5 linked regions of the Tribolium castaneum genome follow. The protein of the gene in region 5 interacts with the protein of the main gene of each other region in a biochemical or structural test. Links are inferred from orthologs where the notes say so. Each region holds a gene or a part of one and is shown on either strand. Other genes may lie near its edges. The genes, in order: Nup154, nuclear RNA export factor 1, Fs(2)Ket, mbo and Nup98-96.

Evidence for each region.
Region 1: the proteins of Nup98-96 (region 5) and Nup154 form a complex in vitro, tested with the Homo sapiens proteins (2 studies listed by BioGRID). The link is inferred for Tribolium castaneum from reciprocal best matches to the Homo sapiens genes NUP98 and NUP155.
Region 2: the proteins of Nup98-96 (region 5) and nuclear RNA export factor 1 form a complex in vitro, tested with the Homo sapiens proteins (5 studies listed by BioGRID and IntAct). The link is inferred for Tribolium castaneum from reciprocal best matches to the Homo sapiens genes NUP98 and NXF1.
Region 3: the proteins of Nup98-96 (region 5) and Fs(2)Ket form a complex in vitro, tested with the Homo sapiens proteins (3 studies listed by BioGRID). The link is inferred for Tribolium castaneum from reciprocal best matches to the Homo sapiens genes NUP98 and KPNB1.
Region 4: the proteins of Nup98-96 (region 5) and mbo form a complex in vitro, tested with the Homo sapiens proteins (2 studies listed by BioGRID). The link is inferred for Tribolium castaneum from reciprocal best matches to the Homo sapiens genes NUP98 and NUP88.

Annotation. Positions count from the first base shown.
Region 1 is NC_087397.1:1,220,651-1,223,327, forward strand, and holds the end of Nup154 (nuclear pore complex protein Nup154), read left to right. Parts: coding exon 1-622; intron 623-667; coding exon 668-1,039; intron 1,040-1,089; coding exon 1,090-1,330; intron 1,331-1,376; coding exon 1,377-1,605; intron 1,606-1,650; coding exon 1,651-1,900; intron 1,901-1,945; coding exon 1,946-2,072; 3' UTR 2,073-2,173; downstream 2,174-2,677. Other genes in the region: DNA ligase 1, read right to left, coding at 2,174-2,677.
Region 2 is NC_087399.1:3,670,961-3,675,001, forward strand, and holds the start of nuclear RNA export factor 1, read left to right. Parts: upstream 1-1,232; 5' UTR 1,233-1,369; coding exon 1,370-1,424; intron 1,425-1,477; coding exon 1,478-1,740; intron 1,741-1,790; coding exon 1,791-1,877; intron 1,878-1,925; coding exon 1,926-2,360; intron 2,361-2,408; coding exon 2,409-2,518; intron 2,519-4,041. Other genes in the region: Rint1 (RAD50-interacting protein 1), read left to right, coding at 1-145, 238-764, 813-1,026.
Region 3 is NC_087398.1:2,426,359-2,430,677, reverse strand, and holds the end of Fs(2)Ket (importin subunit beta-1), read left to right. Parts: coding exon 1-331; intron 332-465; coding exon 466-1,243; intron 1,244-1,471; coding exon of another isoform or gene 1,472-1,472; exon of another isoform or gene 1,473-3,452; intron 3,453-3,605; coding exon 3,606-3,713; intron 3,714-3,766; coding exon 3,767-3,782; downstream 3,783-4,319. Other genes in the region: CarT (carcinine transporter), read left to right, coding at 3,687-3,713, 3,767-4,123, 4,169-4,319.
Region 4 is NC_087401.1:12,421,550-12,425,068, forward strand, and holds part of mbo (nuclear pore complex protein Nup88), read left to right. Parts: intron 1-3,332; coding exon 3,333-3,496; intron 3,497-3,519. UniProt on the Homo sapiens protein: Component of nuclear pore complex.
Region 5 is NC_087403.1:3,508,283-3,511,226, reverse strand, and holds the end of Nup98-96 (nuclear pore complex protein Nup98-Nup96), read left to right. Parts: coding exon 1-191; intron 192-405; coding exon 406-599; intron 600-651; coding exon 652-1,511; intron 1,512-1,559; coding exon 1,560-2,361; 3' UTR 2,362-2,434; downstream 2,435-2,944. Other genes in the region: protein tyrosine phosphatase domain-containing protein 1, read right to left, coding at 2,530-2,693, 2,745-2,892, 2,940-2,944. UniProt on the Homo sapiens protein: Plays a role in the nuclear pore complex (NPC) assembly and/or maintenance. NUP98 and NUP96 are involved in the bidirectional transport across the NPC. May anchor NUP153 and TPR to the NPC.

The sequences.
Region 1 (2,677 bases), on a different chromosome or scaffold from region 5:
ATCGCCTGAATCACACCATTCAAGATGCGCAAGTTGAGGAGCGCTTATCACTAAACTCTCTCAAATTGTTCGTGTGCCACTGTTGCCAAGTCATGGGACTTTGGCGGATTTTATGCGAACACCAGTTCCATGTTCTGATCGGTTCGTTACCAGCGAACCATCAGACTATTTTACAAGATACCACTTTTAAAGACCTGTTCTTGTACGGACAAGACATTTGTTCCTTGCTGATCACCACTTTGGTTGATAGTTATCTGGGTGATAACGCCTCAGTCGACTCGATTAGTACCAAGTTGAGAGAAGTTTGCCCACATTTGTACAAAATCGAAGATGCGGCATTTTCGAAAGCCAACGAAATGCTGAAATCGTCCCGAAACATACAAAACGTTGACGAAAAGGAAGAAATGGTCATGAATGCACTTGAATTGTGCAAATCTATCGCACCAAACATTAATTTACCGGGGATTTGTAAACAATTTGTTACGCTTAAAGCCTATCATGCTGTCATTGACTTGTGCATAACTTGTGCCAAAAAAGTCGATCCGGATAACATAGCGCAGCATTTTTATAAAAATGATTCGTCCGTTGCGGACCAAGAAGGCCGAGATTTCTACCACAAAAGGTAAATTCAAATAAGTTCGTTCCTCGTAATTAAATTGTTGTCCAGGTTGAATATTTACAAAGAAGTGTTTAATATGTTGGACACGTTATGTACCGAAAACACCCCAAATTTGAGTATCAGTTCTGGAATGCCGCTAGAAAGTGACGCCCGATTGCTGGTCAACCAATTAATCAGCGATATTTTGGAATACCCGGACGAAATTTTACACGTGGCTCTGTATGATTGGATGATGAAGAAACAACTGAGCAGCGAACTAATTAAAGTCAATAACACGTCCCTTGAAACTTATCTGCTTCACACGTCGCAACAGAACCCCGAAAATGTTGCTGTTGTCGACTTGTTGTGGAAATATTACGAAAATAATAATAACCACGCAGCTGCCGCCAAAATCCTTGATAGTCTGGCGTCAAAAACGGGGTAACTAATTTTTTTGTTTGCGATTTCGTGTGATTATTTTTTTCCTGTAGGAATTCGCTGAATTTGAAAGAGCGTTTGGAGTATTTGACACGTGCCATAATGTGCATGCGGAGTGACAAAGTGGGCTATGCCCCCTATTTGGGGGTTTTCCTGCGGGATCTTGAGGATAAAATGGAAGTGGCTAAAGTGCAAGAGCAGATTTTGGACGCTGTGATTGGCTTAAGGGAGTCACACCCGGCAGCTGAGGACGCGATCAGGGCTTTGAATTCTGGGTTGTACCAGATTTCGCAAGTAAGTGGCTTGGAATAATTTTTGTGTTTTTATTGTGGTTTCATAGTTGTATGAAAATTTCGCTGACCCGCTCGAGCTGTGGGAATGCCAGCTTGCCATTATCGACTGTGCTGGGTACACAGACGAGAATTTAATTGAGAAAATTTGGCGCAATATTTTGAGGCGTGAAATTAGGAAAAGTACCGGCAATCCCAATAACAGAATGGCCCAAATTTTGGCCAAAGTCAAGCACGTGGCGCGACAAAGTGGCACTTCAACCCAGTGTTTCCCCATTGGTAAAAAAAAATAAAAAAATTCGGTTATTTATCGTAATTTTTTAGCATTTCTTGTTTCCGAACTGGAGCAATTGTCGACGTATTTAAAAGCGGACCGGTCTTTTGTTCCCAAAGCTTTCGTCGCGATGGAATTTCCGCTTGAAAGTCTGCTTGAAATTTACAACAGGCTTATATCTTCCATTTCTGAGATTCAAATTTGGCAAAAGGAAGAGAACGAGTTTCATTTATTTGAAGCTGTGGCTGCACTTATTGAGACGTTTCTCAACAGTCATGAAGCGTACAACAGCGTGCAAAAGTAAGTCAAGTGAATATCTATTGCGTTTTAATTTTTTTTTTGTAGGCGAAAAATTATTTCGCAGTGTCAGGACACAGTGGCCAGTCTTTTATCAATTTTGTACAGTAAAGCCAACACTGAGGAACTAATCAATATGTTGAGAGGCATTCAGAGCAAATTGTCAAGGTTGTAAAACGGGAAGTTTGTGCCTAGATTATTGTGTTCACTAATTTGAAATATTGGTCTTATTTTATATTTTAAGAATTTACAAACAAATAAACTGATTTTTTCTAACTAGTCGTTTATTATCCCATCCATTTCTTCCTGATCTACAATGAGGATTATTTCATCGTCGTCGTTTGTACATTCAGGTTGTGGGTCATTCTTTTCCTCTACTTTATCACTATTTTTGTTTGCTTCCTCCACATTACTTGCGTCTTTTGGTTCGCTGTTATCAGCTTGTTCCACATTTTCCTTATCCTGTGGGGGTTCAGGAGACTTCTGTTTGTCTAGTCTGTCTCTAATCAACTTGATTTTCTTCTTCTGTGTTTCGGGTTCAGTTTCATTTTTATCTTTTGGTTGTTCGGTCTCGGAGTCACTAGAAGTTATGACAATTTCCTCATTTTTCGGTATTTCAATTATGACATCGTCATTATCGGAGTCATTATGCTCCTCAACTGGCGTTTGTTGCGTATTTTTCTTGCTAGCTTCCAGCATAAGTTGCGACCTGATGGCCCTTGCCCTCGCCTGTAACTCAAGAAGCTCTAAAACGCTCATTAAATTTTCTTCTTGCAACGG
Region 2 (4,041 bases), on a different chromosome or scaffold from region 5:
GTTAGAGTTACTGGATGATTTTAGAATAAGATTATTGCAACTGGTTAACGCGGAACATGAAAATATAGTCGAATCGAAGATCCCCACGATTGCTAACACGATCTATTACATCGAGAATGTTTTAGTTGATTGGGGGGCAATGTTGGTACGGCTGGCTCGAACCGTGCGATTTGATTGGCTGAACGCAGACTTTCAGCCAATCAAATGGCACTATCTATACTTATGCAAGTGTTTCAGCACTATTTGAATTTATACTACTACAAAAGCCAGTTGAATGACTACAAAGCACCCACAAGCCCGTCAAGTGATTCGGACGACTTTGACCCCACGGATATTGAGGGTGAAACTGTTTTTGCCGAAACTTTATCACTCTATAGGCACATGAGACGCGACTTGTTATTTAATTTATCAGATTATGTCATGTTGGAAGTCAGGTCACAAGGTAAAGCCTACAGGAGGGAAAGGTGGTCCTCTATGAATGTCGGTAAAGACATCAAAGGCCTGTCTTTAACACCCACAGCCTGCCCTATTTTCGAAATCGTGGCTAAACGACTACACCAACTGCAAAAAACTCTAGCTTCGAAACTTTTTACGATAGTTTGGCGCTCGGTTGCGCAACAATTAGATAATTACCTCTTTGAGGATCTTGTCCTTGATAATAGATTTAACACTGGAGGCGCTTTGCAGTTAAAGTATGACGTAACAAGGAATTTACTGCCGTTATTTTCGCAATATACCGAAAGGCCCGAAACGTATTTCGTCCAGTAAGTTATTTACTCAGTCGGTAAAGTGGAAAATAAGAACTGTTGCAGACTGATTGAAGCTTGCAATCTTTTAAATATAACTAAAGGGTCCGCTTTGCTACTACGAGAGACTCTCTTGGCTCTTGAGGGGGCCACAGGTATTGAGGACTCCCGCGGGAGAGCCCTCAAGGAGGTTGGGGTGGTCAGCTTCACCCCAAAAATGGCCGTTAAGATTCTAAACCAGCGCACCGACATTACTGTTAATAGGATGGACGTTGATTGAAGCATTTATACGTTTTGTTGAGAAATTTTATAATAAATGTTTTCCCCACCATTGCATTTCATTGAATCACCCTGTAAGTGAATCTAGAGTAGAGTATAAAATGTTACTTCTGGGCCAGAATATTTGGCGTCTTAAAAAACAAGTCAGAACCTTACAAATTTCCTGTACTCTACTATTCAAAAGTCGGTGATTTTCTCAGGGAATTTGGCCTCGCCTTGTTGGCAGCGCGTATCAATGGCGTTTACTTGTCGAAAGTGAAGTGGTGTTAAATCAGGCTCAAAAAAATTATTAAAAAAACAATAATAGTTATAGTTAAGTGCTAGTAAGTAATTGAGACGCTACTATGGCCTCAAAGGGCGGAAAATACAACAAACCGTCGTGGAGAAGCCAATACAGTGGTAAGTCCCCAGCACACTCCACGCGATTCGTTTAAAACGCAGTAAATTGCCAGAGCATGATTTTCGCGGCGGTGGCGAGACCCGCAAAGTGAGTTTCAAGTCAAACAAGTATAAAAAGGACAATAGAAACTGGGCAGCGGCGAGTAGGGCGTACCTGGAAGATGAAGACATTGACATGGGGGCCTCGTCCGGGGGCGGGCGAAACTTCAACCGGAAGCAGTTTAAAGGCAGACGGGGCGGTCGCGGGGACTCGCCCGTGCCCAATCACAAGAAACGGCGGCTTTTGGAGAGCCCCTTCGGTTGGTACCGCGTGACAGTAAGTGTATTAAGTGAGGCTTTTTGGGGGTTTTACACGTGTTTTGCTAGTTGCCGTTTGGGAATAAATACGAGAAGGCGTTCGTCTTGAAGACGCTGCTCGAGCGGATCCAACCTTTGCCCTTGTGGCCAATTACGGTAATGGTTTGTTTGTGTGAGGGTTTTTGACTGATTTTTTGTCTCCAGTGGAGTGTAAACGGCACAACTGCCACTTTTTACATGGATGAGTTTAAAGCCGCGGAAAAGCTGTACGATTTAGATCGCCAGATTCAAATGCCCGACGGGTTTAAATTGCTGATTAAGGTCAGTCATGGGATGCCAAATGTTGACGTTAATAGTGAGATGAAGGAGAAAATTAAATTAACGATGGCTAAGCGGTACAATGCCGCTAATAAAGCGCTCGATTTAACGAAATTCCACGCCGACCCTGACCTACAAGACAATTTCTGTGTACTGTTCAAACCGATCATTTTTCTAACAGTTTTGGAAATAATCGCGGAGAATATCCCAGAAATTGAAGCGATTAATTTATTCGATAACAAAATAGCAAACTTGTCGTATTTAAAGAAGACCAATGAGAAACTGCCCCATTTAAAAATTTTGCATCTAGGAAATAATAAGGTAATGTTGTTGCCCAAAATCGGGGATTTTGTAAATTTGGGGATTCAGTTTAAGGATCTGTCAATGTTGGACCCTTTTATTGGACTACCTATCGTCGATATTGTTTTAAATGGAAATCCATTATGCAACAAATACAAGGACCAAGAGGCGTACATTGGGTAATGTTGAACTAATTTATTTTTTGTAGTCATCATGTTATGAACGTGAATGCATATGAGGGTGACTGGTTATCGGAGATTGTCACTTGAATAAAAAAGAGGTTTTCTGCCAACAATGGAATAAAAGTACTTGAAAATTATTAACGAAATTTGTTGTTACGCAAATTTCAAAGTCCCAAATTTTCGCGATAATTTGTTTAAAACTTAAGTAGCATTACATGTGGCTTCGTTGCATTGTGGCTGAATTCTGCATTTGGCAACCTTTTAATATTATTGTTTGACTATAATTAAGTCACTGAAGTGTATAAAAATAAAAAAAAATCACATACAAACATTTCCATGGGATTACATAATTTTTGTTTTGTATTATCAAAGTGAGAGGAGGTTTCTCAAAGGTGCGTCCTTACAGCAGTTACGAAGCTTCGTAAAGCGATAGCTGGACAAGCATTGCAAGATTTTGCTGTCCATAAACAATGCAGTTAGTTTAAGAAGACAGAAGAACTACAAGGAGTGGACCAGAACACTTAAATGTGTATGTAATTTGGCAAAAATGCTTGTAAATCAAGCAGATTGTCTTGTTTTTCTGCACCTTAAACAATCAATGACTCCTCATAGTACAATAATTATTATATTTTTTTGTTTTATGTAGTAATCTTATGGAATTGATACAAGACATAATAATGAAAAGAAATACTAAATAATACCGTTAAAAAATTGAAAAATTATATGCTCTTCAGTGGCGATTTATTCTAAATTTATTAGTTTTGTTGTTTAATGCAGGAGTAATATAAATTGTTGATCGTGTAATGCTGTTTTAGTTTTAAATTTACGAAGCTTGTCTTACTTTGAAATTGTGTAACAACTGTCTGATCGGTTGCAAAATTCCTCGGAGGTTTAATTCCCAAAATAACAAACTTCAATAAATTTTGATTGTTTAACACTTTGTACAAAATTAGATTTTCGTAAGTTTTTGAATTAAACTGAAGAGGGCACAAAATACTGGAGCTATTGTATCCTATTTTTTTTCAAATAAATAATGTGTTAGGAAATGAGAAGTGGCTGAAAATACGGTACAAAAATCACTAACTCAGAATTTGTGACTAAATCAATTTCCGTTCCTAGAAAAAAAATCAGCATAAAGCTGTATTTATTCTTTTTCATTTACATAATAATTTTTTTTTCGCCCAAATACTTCTTGAATGAGTTTATCCCACTAATTCACAATTGTAACATAGTTATAATTCCGTTCCTAGAAAAAAATTCAAAATAAAGCAGTATTTCTTCTTTTTTTATTTACATAATAAAATATTTACAACATATTTACATAATAAATTATTTTTGCTTAAATACTTGAATGAGTTTCAACGTTTCATCAAGGGTGGATTTTATAATCGTCAGATAAACCCCAGATAATTTATTTCTAGTATAATTACTATGGTTACAATTGTTATAACAATGTATTTTTCAAAATTTATTTCTTAGATAAAGTAATCCTACGATTGTAAAATCCGCCCTAAATGAAA
Region 3 (4,319 bases), on a different chromosome or scaffold from region 5:
ACGGACCGTCCAGACGGCGCTCAAGCTAATCTCAGACCGGCAGCCTACGAGGCTTTGATGGAAATGGTGAAGAATTCACCGAAAGATTGCTACGTCACCGTACAAAAGACAACAATGGTGATTCTTGAACGTTTGCAACAAGTTTTACAAATGGAAACACACATTACGAGCCACAATGATAGGTCACAGTTTAATGATCTCCAGTCGTTGTTGTGCGGAACACTTCAGTCGGTTTTGAGGAAAGTTACACCAGAGGACGCGCCGCAAATATCCGACGCCATCATGACTGCTATGCTGACCATGTTCAACTCGAATTCGTGCAAAAGTGGAGGTAATTCACCAGCCAAATGCGCCTTCAAATAAAATCTTTCGCTTACACTTTACAGTGAATTGTATTAAAGATTTTAGTTTGAAGGCGTATTATAAAAAATTATAAGTACGGGAATTAAACGTTGTTTGTGTTAGGTGTACAAGAGGACGCACTGATGGCAGTGTCAACCCTGGTGGAAGTCCTCGGTGAAGGTTTCATCAAATACATGGACGCGTTCAAGCCGTTTCTTTACATCGGCCTTAAAAACCACCAAGAGTACCAAGTTTGTGGTACCGCAGTCGGTCTAACCGGTGACATTTTCCGCGCTCTCAAACTAAAAGCTCTTCCTTATTGCGACGAAATCATGACTCTTCTGCTCGAAAATCTCGGCGATCAATCGGTCCACCGTAGCGTCAAGCCACAGATTCTTTCAGTGTTCGGCGATATCGTCCTAAGTATCGGCCCCGAATTCAAAAAATACCTCGATGTTGTTCTCACAACACTAGCGCAGGCGTCGCAGGCACAAGTCGATAGAGATGATTTCGATATGGTCGATTATTTGAACGAATTACGCGAAGGTGTACTTGATGCTTACACGGGCATTGTACAGGGTTTAAAAGGCGATGGCCCGACACCTAATCCCGACGTTTTGATTCTCGAACCGCACATTCCTTTCATCGTTCAATTTATAACCGTGGTGGCACAAGACACGTTCAATTCTGATGCCACGGTTGCGGTGGCTGCCGGATTGGTGGGGGATCTCTGTACGGCTTTTGGAGCACCACTTTTACAACTCCTGGATTTGGAGCCGATCAACGAGATGTTGGCGAAAGGCAGACGAAGTGGAACTAATCGTACTAGAACTTTGGCCACTTGGGCTACGAAGGAGTTGCGCAAGTTGAAGGCTAATTCGACGGCCGCTGTAGCTAGTTGGTAAGTGGGAGTGGACAGTTTCAGCAGATCCAATTGGCAAAAAATCGTTACAAATAATATAAAACAGACATTATTAAAATTATAGCTGGGATTTTTTTAAAATTAAAATAAAGTTAGTTGTGGTGGGTCGGTTGGATCTGCTGCGTTTGAGACTTGGCGTTGGACTGTATGTGTCTCGCGAAAATCGGTGTGCTGAGCGAAGTTTGACAGTGCTTTCGATGGTTTCAGATTTTCTTTGGCATGTTGTGGTTTAACAGAAGGAAATCTAACGAAGGTGTGGTCAACGGCATCGATATTGGATTCGCATTATACATAAAACCAAAATTCTTGCAGACTTTAGTTTTCGTTTTGGCTGAGTCGGACCAGTTTTGCTCATCTCTCGGTTGAGTAAAGCTGGTCAGCTAGTTTGACATGGTATTGTTCCCCAATACTTTCGGTTTTCGGGGTGCAGAGTGAGTGCTGATGCATATGGACTCTTGATAAACTGTGAGTGCTAATCGTAGCTGTGAACGCTTGTGAATAGTGTCTGAATCTTCGCCTGGTTTCGTGAAAGGCGGTTTAGCTCAAGACTGAAGAGTGAAGTGGTGTCTCCTCTATCACTTGTTGCGTCTTTTACGTTCGTCTTCACTTTAGTGTTGTACTTGATTACAATAAAAGCATTTGTCTATTTCACATATCGAATTAATCATAAGTAGTTATTTTTATAATGGTCTTTGGTGAAGAAATTACCTATGCACTGCAGTCAGACAGAAGTAATCTTAAAATCCTGATTTATTATTGCTTCTTTGTTTCGCTGAAGTTGTGTGTAATTTCATTGCGGAAAAAAGCAAAACACGCTCTGGTGCTTCTTTAGATTTTGCGAATTTATATTAACTTTTCTCTTAAAAAGCAAAAGACTGCGATAATCAAAAACTGTCCAGAGGAGCGTGTTTCGGTTTTTCCCTGGTTGATTTTTTTGAAACAATTTCCAATTCACTGAATTCATACTCAGGAAATTTGAGAATAATAAATCTTGTGACTGGTATTTTTTATGAAAGATTTTTGTGAGGCCTGATTGTGCCTTGCGTGGGTGGTGTATGAAAATTTTCGAGTTTTTCGTATAAGTCGACACGCTGATTAAATATACGAAAGTGCTTGAAAGGGAGGGTGGGTATCGCAACAAAGTAAAAAAGAATCTGTGATTTGAGAAGGTTTCTGTAGTTGCCAAAACACGAAAAAGATACATTCAAATTCCATTAGTTTTTTAAATGCGTATAACGAAACCTTCTCAATGTTTTCGTAATTATAATTCTAGAATTATAATTATAAATTCCTTGTATGTGTGATATTTTTCCGTGGGCAATATTGAAATAAACCAATTTTTGTGTTTATTTTTATCACTAGTCCATTAAGCGACCTTCGTTGTTTTGGAAGGTACATTAGCGATGGGTTATTTTAACTATTGCCCACGTCTGGGTTCAAAGGCTGTATGAAATCACTTGTATAGTATGTAAGTAGTGTGGTTGTATATTTTGTATGTACGAAGTATGAAGAATTTTATTATGAAGTAGTGTAAGAATTTCTACTGGCCTAAATTATTTATTGAAGCTTCTAACTGTTTTATGCACACCGAGATATTTAATTTTAAAAAGCTCATTTTTATGGTTTTGTGAACCAGCCAAAGTGTGATTTTAATCCATGATCTTTTTAAAATTATTTCGAATTCTACGAATGTTCATGTGCAAAAAGGTTGCGTTACAATTAATTGGAAGGGTTTTGAGTGGAAATGTTTATGGTTGCATATTTTATTGGTTGAATGTTTTGTTTTGATTGTGCCATGTTGATTGTTAATCTGTAATCACCCCAAACGCGCCGATGTTTGACAATATGGTTTTCTGTGTGTTCTGAAGACTGAATTTATTAATTAAATAGCCTAGTAAAGCTCAAATGCCGTATGAAAGTTGACGCAAAATGCGGCTTATTCCAAACTTGGTATTGTCGAACACCGGTTACTTTTCTTCTTTTCCCTTAAAAATGTTACCATGTCTAGGGTGCCTATTGACCAATTCATCAAAATTGTATTAGATTTTAATTTTGTTAAGTTAAATTCCCTGCACGCCTTTTCAGTTAGGATATTTCACTTTTTAAATTCCCTCCCAAACGCTTGGGATCACTCCCGCAGAATTGGGATTTTTGTAGTTGTACGGATAATAAATGTTTCCTTTCTTTACACCCTGTTTTCTTTCACCCAGCCGCAGCAAAATTTCGCAAAATTCGACCAAAGGTAAGACTTTTCGAATAAATCCAGGGTTGTGTCTGTGTTCGTGTTGCATCGCCCCAACTGACTCTCACCGTAATTTATATGATTAGTGATTGATTTCAGGCAAGCGGGAAATAATCTCATAAACCTCACTCCTAAGTCTTCACTTATAAACCCAGCAATGGTCACTCAGTGTTGCGCAAAATGGATCAAAATGAACAAAACCATAGCGTAAGTACCACTTTCGCACCCAACCCAACAAATCTGAGCGCGAAAAATTCCAGGAATCGCTTGACCTAGACGACCTTTTACCCCAAGTGGGCGAATTCGGACGATATCAGAAACTACTTCTCTGGCTCATCTGTCTCCCTGCATGCCTCCCGTGCGGTTTTTGCGCCTTCAACCAACTGTTCATGACCGAAACGCCCGATCATTGGTGCAAAACACCACAAACACTCAATCTGACACAAGAAGAACGAAAAAATCTCTTCATCCCGAAAAACAACAACTCTTTCTCCAAATGTCTGAGATACACAATTAACTGGACACAAATCATGGACAATATCACCTCGGGGGCCACCGAGGGGTGTTCTGACGGGTGGGAGTTTGACCAAGACGCCTCCTCCAGCATTGTCACAGACGTACGTAGTCACACAAACCAACTATTTTGCTAACAATAGTTCCAGTTTGAGTTAGTTTGTGACAAAAGTATTTACCCCACCTTGGGCCTCGTGGCCCTAAACTTGGGGGGCCCTGTGGGCGTCTACTACTTCGGGATGTTAAATGACAGCATCGGGCGCAAAAAATCATTCTTTGTCTGTCTCACAACCCTCCTCC
Region 4 (3,519 bases), on a different chromosome or scaffold from region 5:
TTGTGGTATGCGCTTTCAAAAATTCCATAATTTATGGTAGTTCGCTCCTGAATTAATAACTTAATAGAGAGCACACGAGTTAATTCCGTTTTCCGGTGTTTGGTAAAAGGGGTGATTATTGCTTTTGTGTGGCAAAAATTTATTTTAAGAGCGAAGAAACGCAGTGATGGGTTAGGTGATAGGACAGTTCGAACGATTAAAACCGGGGGCCAATCAACGTCCTGATAACGGGCGAGTGTCGCAAGGGTTGTCGTTATCTCAGATGTGATTCCTATGCAAATCATTCCGAGGCACTTTTGATTATTCCGCTACTGATGGGCTCTATCAGTTTCCTGGAAGGGTTAAGGAGCCGAAGGGAGGTTGCAGACAATTAACGCATTTGCGAGCAAAGACTGTCTTAAAAAAAAGCATTTTATTCCCAAATGCCTGGAATGCAGTTTTTTTCAGTTGTTGAAATTATCACGATTGAAAACTGTGCAAATGTTTTTTATTTTTTTCATGTACATTTTTTTATATTTTAACTGGACTTTAAACATTAAATTATTATTTCATTATTGTAAACCATAATTAATATGCACGTATCTGTTACATACAATTGTCGCTCCAAAACTTAAAAAAATATAGTAGTAAATTTTGTGTTTTCTTAGATGAATCACCTGGTATATCCAACGTTCAAAGTAATTTTACTAAGTCTGTTTCTGTATATACAAAGTGGCACACATTATTTTACATTTAAACTTATAATATCATGTTTAAGCAACACGTATTAATATTGCAATCTGATGAAAATTTAATAAAAAATCGAAACGTCGTGAAAAATATAAATACTTATTACTGCCTTTCTAAACATCCAACAGATCTTTTCCGGTCAAATTGTCAAATTTTCAAGGGCATAATTGTATTTCAAAATTTCAAATTACTTATTTTGCTTTTTTACTGCTTTTTCCTTTATTTTATTTTTTTTACGTAATTCTTTCTTTATTCTTTCTTCAGTCTTAAATTTCTGGTGTTTCTAATAGTAGCAGCAATCGTTCTATTTGTGTTTAAAACAGAGCTTTGTAACCCAAATCAATAAAATAAAAAACAAACCAAAAATAAAACATACAGCGAAAATATTTCCATACATTTTTATTTAAATTTCTATCGTATAAATTTATAATATAAATAATATATTTATAATATAAATATAAATCTTCGAATTTTTTTGCATTTGCTTTGTTTTTAGTTGTTTGGCTTAATTTGTTCTGTTTTTTTTTATTGCTAATTATTTTTTTGTTGTATATTTGCTTTTTCTTGAATAAATTGGAATTGAAAAAACAATAAATTTGAGTTTTTCTTGGATAGTGAGGTCATTTAGAGTCTACCTATTTATAAAGCAAAACAAAATTTCTAATTGCTTGTTTTTTTTCGAAATAGAGTTACCTAATATCATTCTCTTGATTGTAAAACGATTTGTTTATTTAATTGGACCAATAAAGCAATAACAGCAAAATTTTTATATTGTCTGCTTCTCTACGAACAAAACGAAAACTTCGTTTCTGATTGGCTAAAGCATTGAGTTATTAGTCGTTCATAATATCATTTAAAAACTTTGTTTTTTTTTATTTTCATACACAAACGGTGTATAATTTTATGCGCTCTAATTTTAGAGTTTTAGTGTTTGGAATTCTTTGAATTTTTTTTTTATTTTTGATTTTTATCTTCAATTTTTTTTGGTTACTTTTGGTTCATTATAAAAATTTTGATTGTGTTTTGTATTCGCTGTAGTACTTTTTTACTTTTTTATTTTGTTTTTGTTACAAAGGTTTTCTTTTTTCTTTTTGGATACTTTGGTATTTTTGTGGCTTCTGAACAAGAACAAAAAATTTGGGATTTTTTTTAATATGTGCTAAAGTAAAGTTGTTGAAATGCTGCAAAACCAAAGCATAATTTATGAAATTCCATTTGATTCTATTGATGGAAACCAATTTGGTTTTTAATTAGACCTAAGGCAACAAATGCAAAGTTTTTATATTGACTGCTTCTCTAAGAATAAAACGAAAACTAGCTCCAAATTTGCGTTATTAGTCTTTAAAAATTTCCGTTAAAAACTTTTTTTCTTTGCTTTTTTTTACACAAAGGGTGTATAATTTTATACTCTCTGTATTTTATTTTCGTGTTTTAATTTTTTTTTAATTTTTTTATTTTTTTTCTACTTGTTTTTCTTTTTTACCATTTTTAATTTCTAGTGCTAGATTTATTTATCCTCAATTTCTTTTGGTTACTTTTGGTTATAGTAATGTGTCTTTCGTCAGTGAAGTGTTTCTTATTTCTACACTGTTCAGTATCTTTCTGAATTTCCTTTGAACAAGGACAAAAAATTCGGGATTTTTTTTGATTATGTGCTAAAGTAGAGTTATTGAAATGCTGCAGAACCAAAGCATAATTTTTGGAATTTTGTTTGATTTTTTTGATTGAAAACAATTTGGATTTAGTTAGACTGTTTATCATTTATTAATTTAACAAAGCAAAATTGACAGTTTATTTAGGTACTTTATTCTCGTTAGTGGTTAAGTTTGTTAAAATATTATTTCAATAAAAGATTCTAACCGGCGCAAAAATGGATTTATCTATCATTGTAATAATTTTATTTATTTTTTATTTATATTTTTTTTACTTTTTTTTTGCATTTGTTTTACATTTGTGTGTTTTCGTCTTAGTTTTTAGTTCTTTACACTTTTTTACTTATTGTTAATTTCCTGACTTTTGCCAGAAATTTTTGCCCGAATTTTATTTTTTAATGTCTTAAGCAATGTCAATCCGATAACTGTTCTTTCGATTGAAAAGGATTTATTGCTTTAATTATGATTTTTCTTATTGTTGGAGATCTTCATCTGGATAAGATCCCCCATTAGCGTAAAATTTCCATTCCGTTGTCCTCTCCGATACACACAGGGGGCGTTTTTCCTCCTCTTTCCTCGTCGTGGATCGGAGGGTGTGTGCAAGTCGTTCGTTAATTTTAAATCTATTTTTACGAGACCGAAAAAGCCTCCGGCCGTGGAAAAATAGCTCTTAGTTAACGGCAAAACGGTCGTGGATAATAGCTTCTTTGACTTCTTAGATGGATTTTTTAATATAATAATTTCAATAATTTATACGCTCGCTTTTCCCGGGCCCGATTTAAATTAGGCAATAACCGGGATTAGTACGGGGCGATCTCCTTATTTTTTATGCATCAATATCAGGATATAAAACGATGCGGTCGCGCCACCCGAATTTTTCCACTTAATTGCACCTCGTTTATCAAACGAGCGCAAAAAATAATAAATAATTTTCTTCTTCTTCTTTCACAGAATCTCTTCCCCGTACTTCCGGTCATGTTCCAACCGGAGTTATTGCTGGTCAACGATACCGGAACATTGCTGCTGGTGGCCGGCCCGTCCGGAATCATAGTGATGGAGCTGCCGGCCATGCACCTGCTCTATGGGGCCGATAGCAGAGATGTGGTGTTCTGCAGGTGACTAGTTTAAATTTTTACGA
Region 5 (2,944 bases):
CGAAGAGGATCAATACACCATTTCGGAGGAGATGTACCACACAGAATCGTCGATCCAGACGCTCAAGTCGTCGCTTTTTGTCAATTTGGAGAGTCAAGAACCGAAGAAGACGCAAAGTGTTCTCAAACAACAGCTAATCCCGAGCAAGGTTATTGTGACGCCTAAGGTCTACAAACTACCGGATATCAGACGTAAGTGTGCAGGAAATCAGCATTCTAAAGTAGATTATTTCCATGGCCCTTAAAACAGCTCGAATTGTTCCAGTAACTATTGTGTTACCAGTTTTTTCTAAAATATTACAGCGTGTCTATTACGTACGATTAAATAATTTTCAGTTTGTTATATAATATTTTAATAGTATTTTTGTTTTCTAAGAAATAAAGCTATATTTGTTTATTTATTTAGTGGCAATCGTTCCGGAAAAAGTCACCACAACTCAAAAGTGTTACACGGAGATGGGCGTCTTCCGCTGCAACACGTATAAAGTGGGGTGGGGGAAAGGTTTCAATTTCTATAACTATGATCCTGTTGCTGACAACGAGGTGGTTTATGCCCTCACTCATTGTAACGTCGATGTCATGAATGCGAACTCAGCAATGGTTAGTTGTGCGTTTGTGTTATCTTATCATGTGTTGTATAATTTGATTGTAGCCAAACTTGACTGATTTACTTAAAGTAACCCTTGAGGAAAGTGATATCGTGCTTGATAATAACCAAATACCAACTCTTCGTATTAAATGCGACTTGAATTACCTGCAAAAACAAACCGATTTATTCAACGATTACGTAAAAACTCAGCCACTGTCAGGCCGGGAAAAGTACTATTGTAGCGTTTGGAATTTGTGTTTGGCGCTGTGGGGACCGGGCGATAACACGCCTTGTATGCGAAGACAGTACGTCAGTGACTGGTTGAGAAAATTTTCGTACGAGTTATCCGGCGACGTAACTTTGCATGACCGAATCGGTCGTGACGAAAGTGAGGCATTTAAAACGATTTTCAAACTATTGTCATTCCATAAAATTGCTGAAGCGAGCGAGTTGGCCGGTAGCAACAATTTGAGTCAGTTGAGTCTGCTGATCAGCCAGATGAGTGCCAACGAGAGGGTGAAAGCCTGGTTGAGGAAATACGTGGAGAGTTTTGAATGGAGGGAGAGGGATGTAATCACTGATGATTTCAAAAGATTGTATTTGCTTCTTGCCGGCATACCGGTGCATGAAATTATAAACACTTGTGAGGATCTGGACTGGATGAGGAGTTTCGGGGTGCATTTGTGGTACGTGGCCCCAGCTGCAGCTCCGATTAGTGTGGCGTTTAATTTGTATAAGAAAGCGTTTGAGGAACTTGACTATGCAGCAAAGCCGGTACCGCCGCACTGCGAGGCTGATTCGCCAGTAAAACACTACGATATTCTCTACCAAATTTTGACGCTTTATGTTGATGGTACGCATCAATTATGTAATGTTTTGCATCCCGAAACACACACTGATAATCTCATGGACTATCGGCTTAGGTAAGTTTGCAAAAAAACAAACAGTTTTGTGTAAATTGAATATTGTAGTTGGTTTTTGCTTCAATTGTTTGCGTCATTGCGAGTCGGGTTGATTCGCGAGTCGGAAAAGGATCACTTGCACACAACGTTCGCCACCCAGTTGGAGAACTTGGGCCTTTGGAAGTGGGCGATCTTCTGCCTCCTCTTCCTTGAAAACAACTTGTTGAAAAAGAATCTGGTGATGAGAATCCTTGATAGGAATCTCTCGACTCGAACCGAGTCAGTTGAGAGAGAACTTGTGAAGACTTTCAAAATTCCCGCATCTTGGATCCACGAAATCAAAGCTACGAAAGCCAAAATCGCCGGTCGCTACTACGAGTACTTCCAGCACTACATCTACATGGGGAAGTGGCAAGAGGCCAATGCCGCTTTTATTGACAATATTTTACCCGAGCTGTTCATTAACGAACAGTACGACTATTTGAATAGCTTTATCAATAAGATCCAACCGTATTCCAATCTCCTAGTGAACTGGAACACGCAGGTTGGACTTGTTAAGGAATTTCTGGAGTTGCAAGAAACATTGGGTGGAAGTACCGAAGTGTCGTCCGTTGGGGGAAAACTAGCTTCCTTGTTCCGAAGAATTAACTGCTTTCCGACTAATAACGACAAACAGAAGCTGTTCGTTGTTGAACTTTCGCGAAAATGTGCCTTGCTGTTTAAGATTTTTCACAAGAGTTTAGATAATCCGGTGTTCCAAGCCAAGTTTGTTGAGATTTTGAACAATCTGGCCATGCCTCCTGATATTAAGCATTATGAGTTCTTTCATCTGTTCAACAAATTCACCGTAGAGGAGCCAGAAATTCGTTAGTTATGTATTTTTAATAATTGTCATTTTATGTTTATTGTAATTCCTTTCTGCTTAATAAATATGTTATTGTGGACGAGTGGTTTTAATAAAAACGTACGCGATGGATTAAGGAGATTCATTAAAGAAGTACATACATTAAAAAAATAGTATTTCACACACACATTTCGTTTATTGGAAGTCATTCTCGAGATCATTCTCGTTATACATCTTGCTTTCTTCTAAGTAAACACTCGACTTAAGGCTGTGGTGAACTTCAATCAGTTCAAACAACGACTGGAAAAACTCTATTGTGCAAGCCAACGTTCCGTCCCGCAGTTTTTTAAACCCTTTATCTGCAACCACGGCCGGTTTGTGTTCAACGCGGCAAATGCAAAAATACAAACCTATCGGTTTCATCTTCCCTTGGATTAGCAAAGTTTGCTGCGAGCATGCGGCAATTATCCGTTTTATCAAATCCTCCTGATTCTCTTTACTAATCGGGTTAATTTTACTGACAAATCGGAGCAAATATTCCATGAAATAGCCTTCTTCCTGGAACAAAAAACTAGTTATATTGCGTCCTCACAGAGGATACATACAGCTG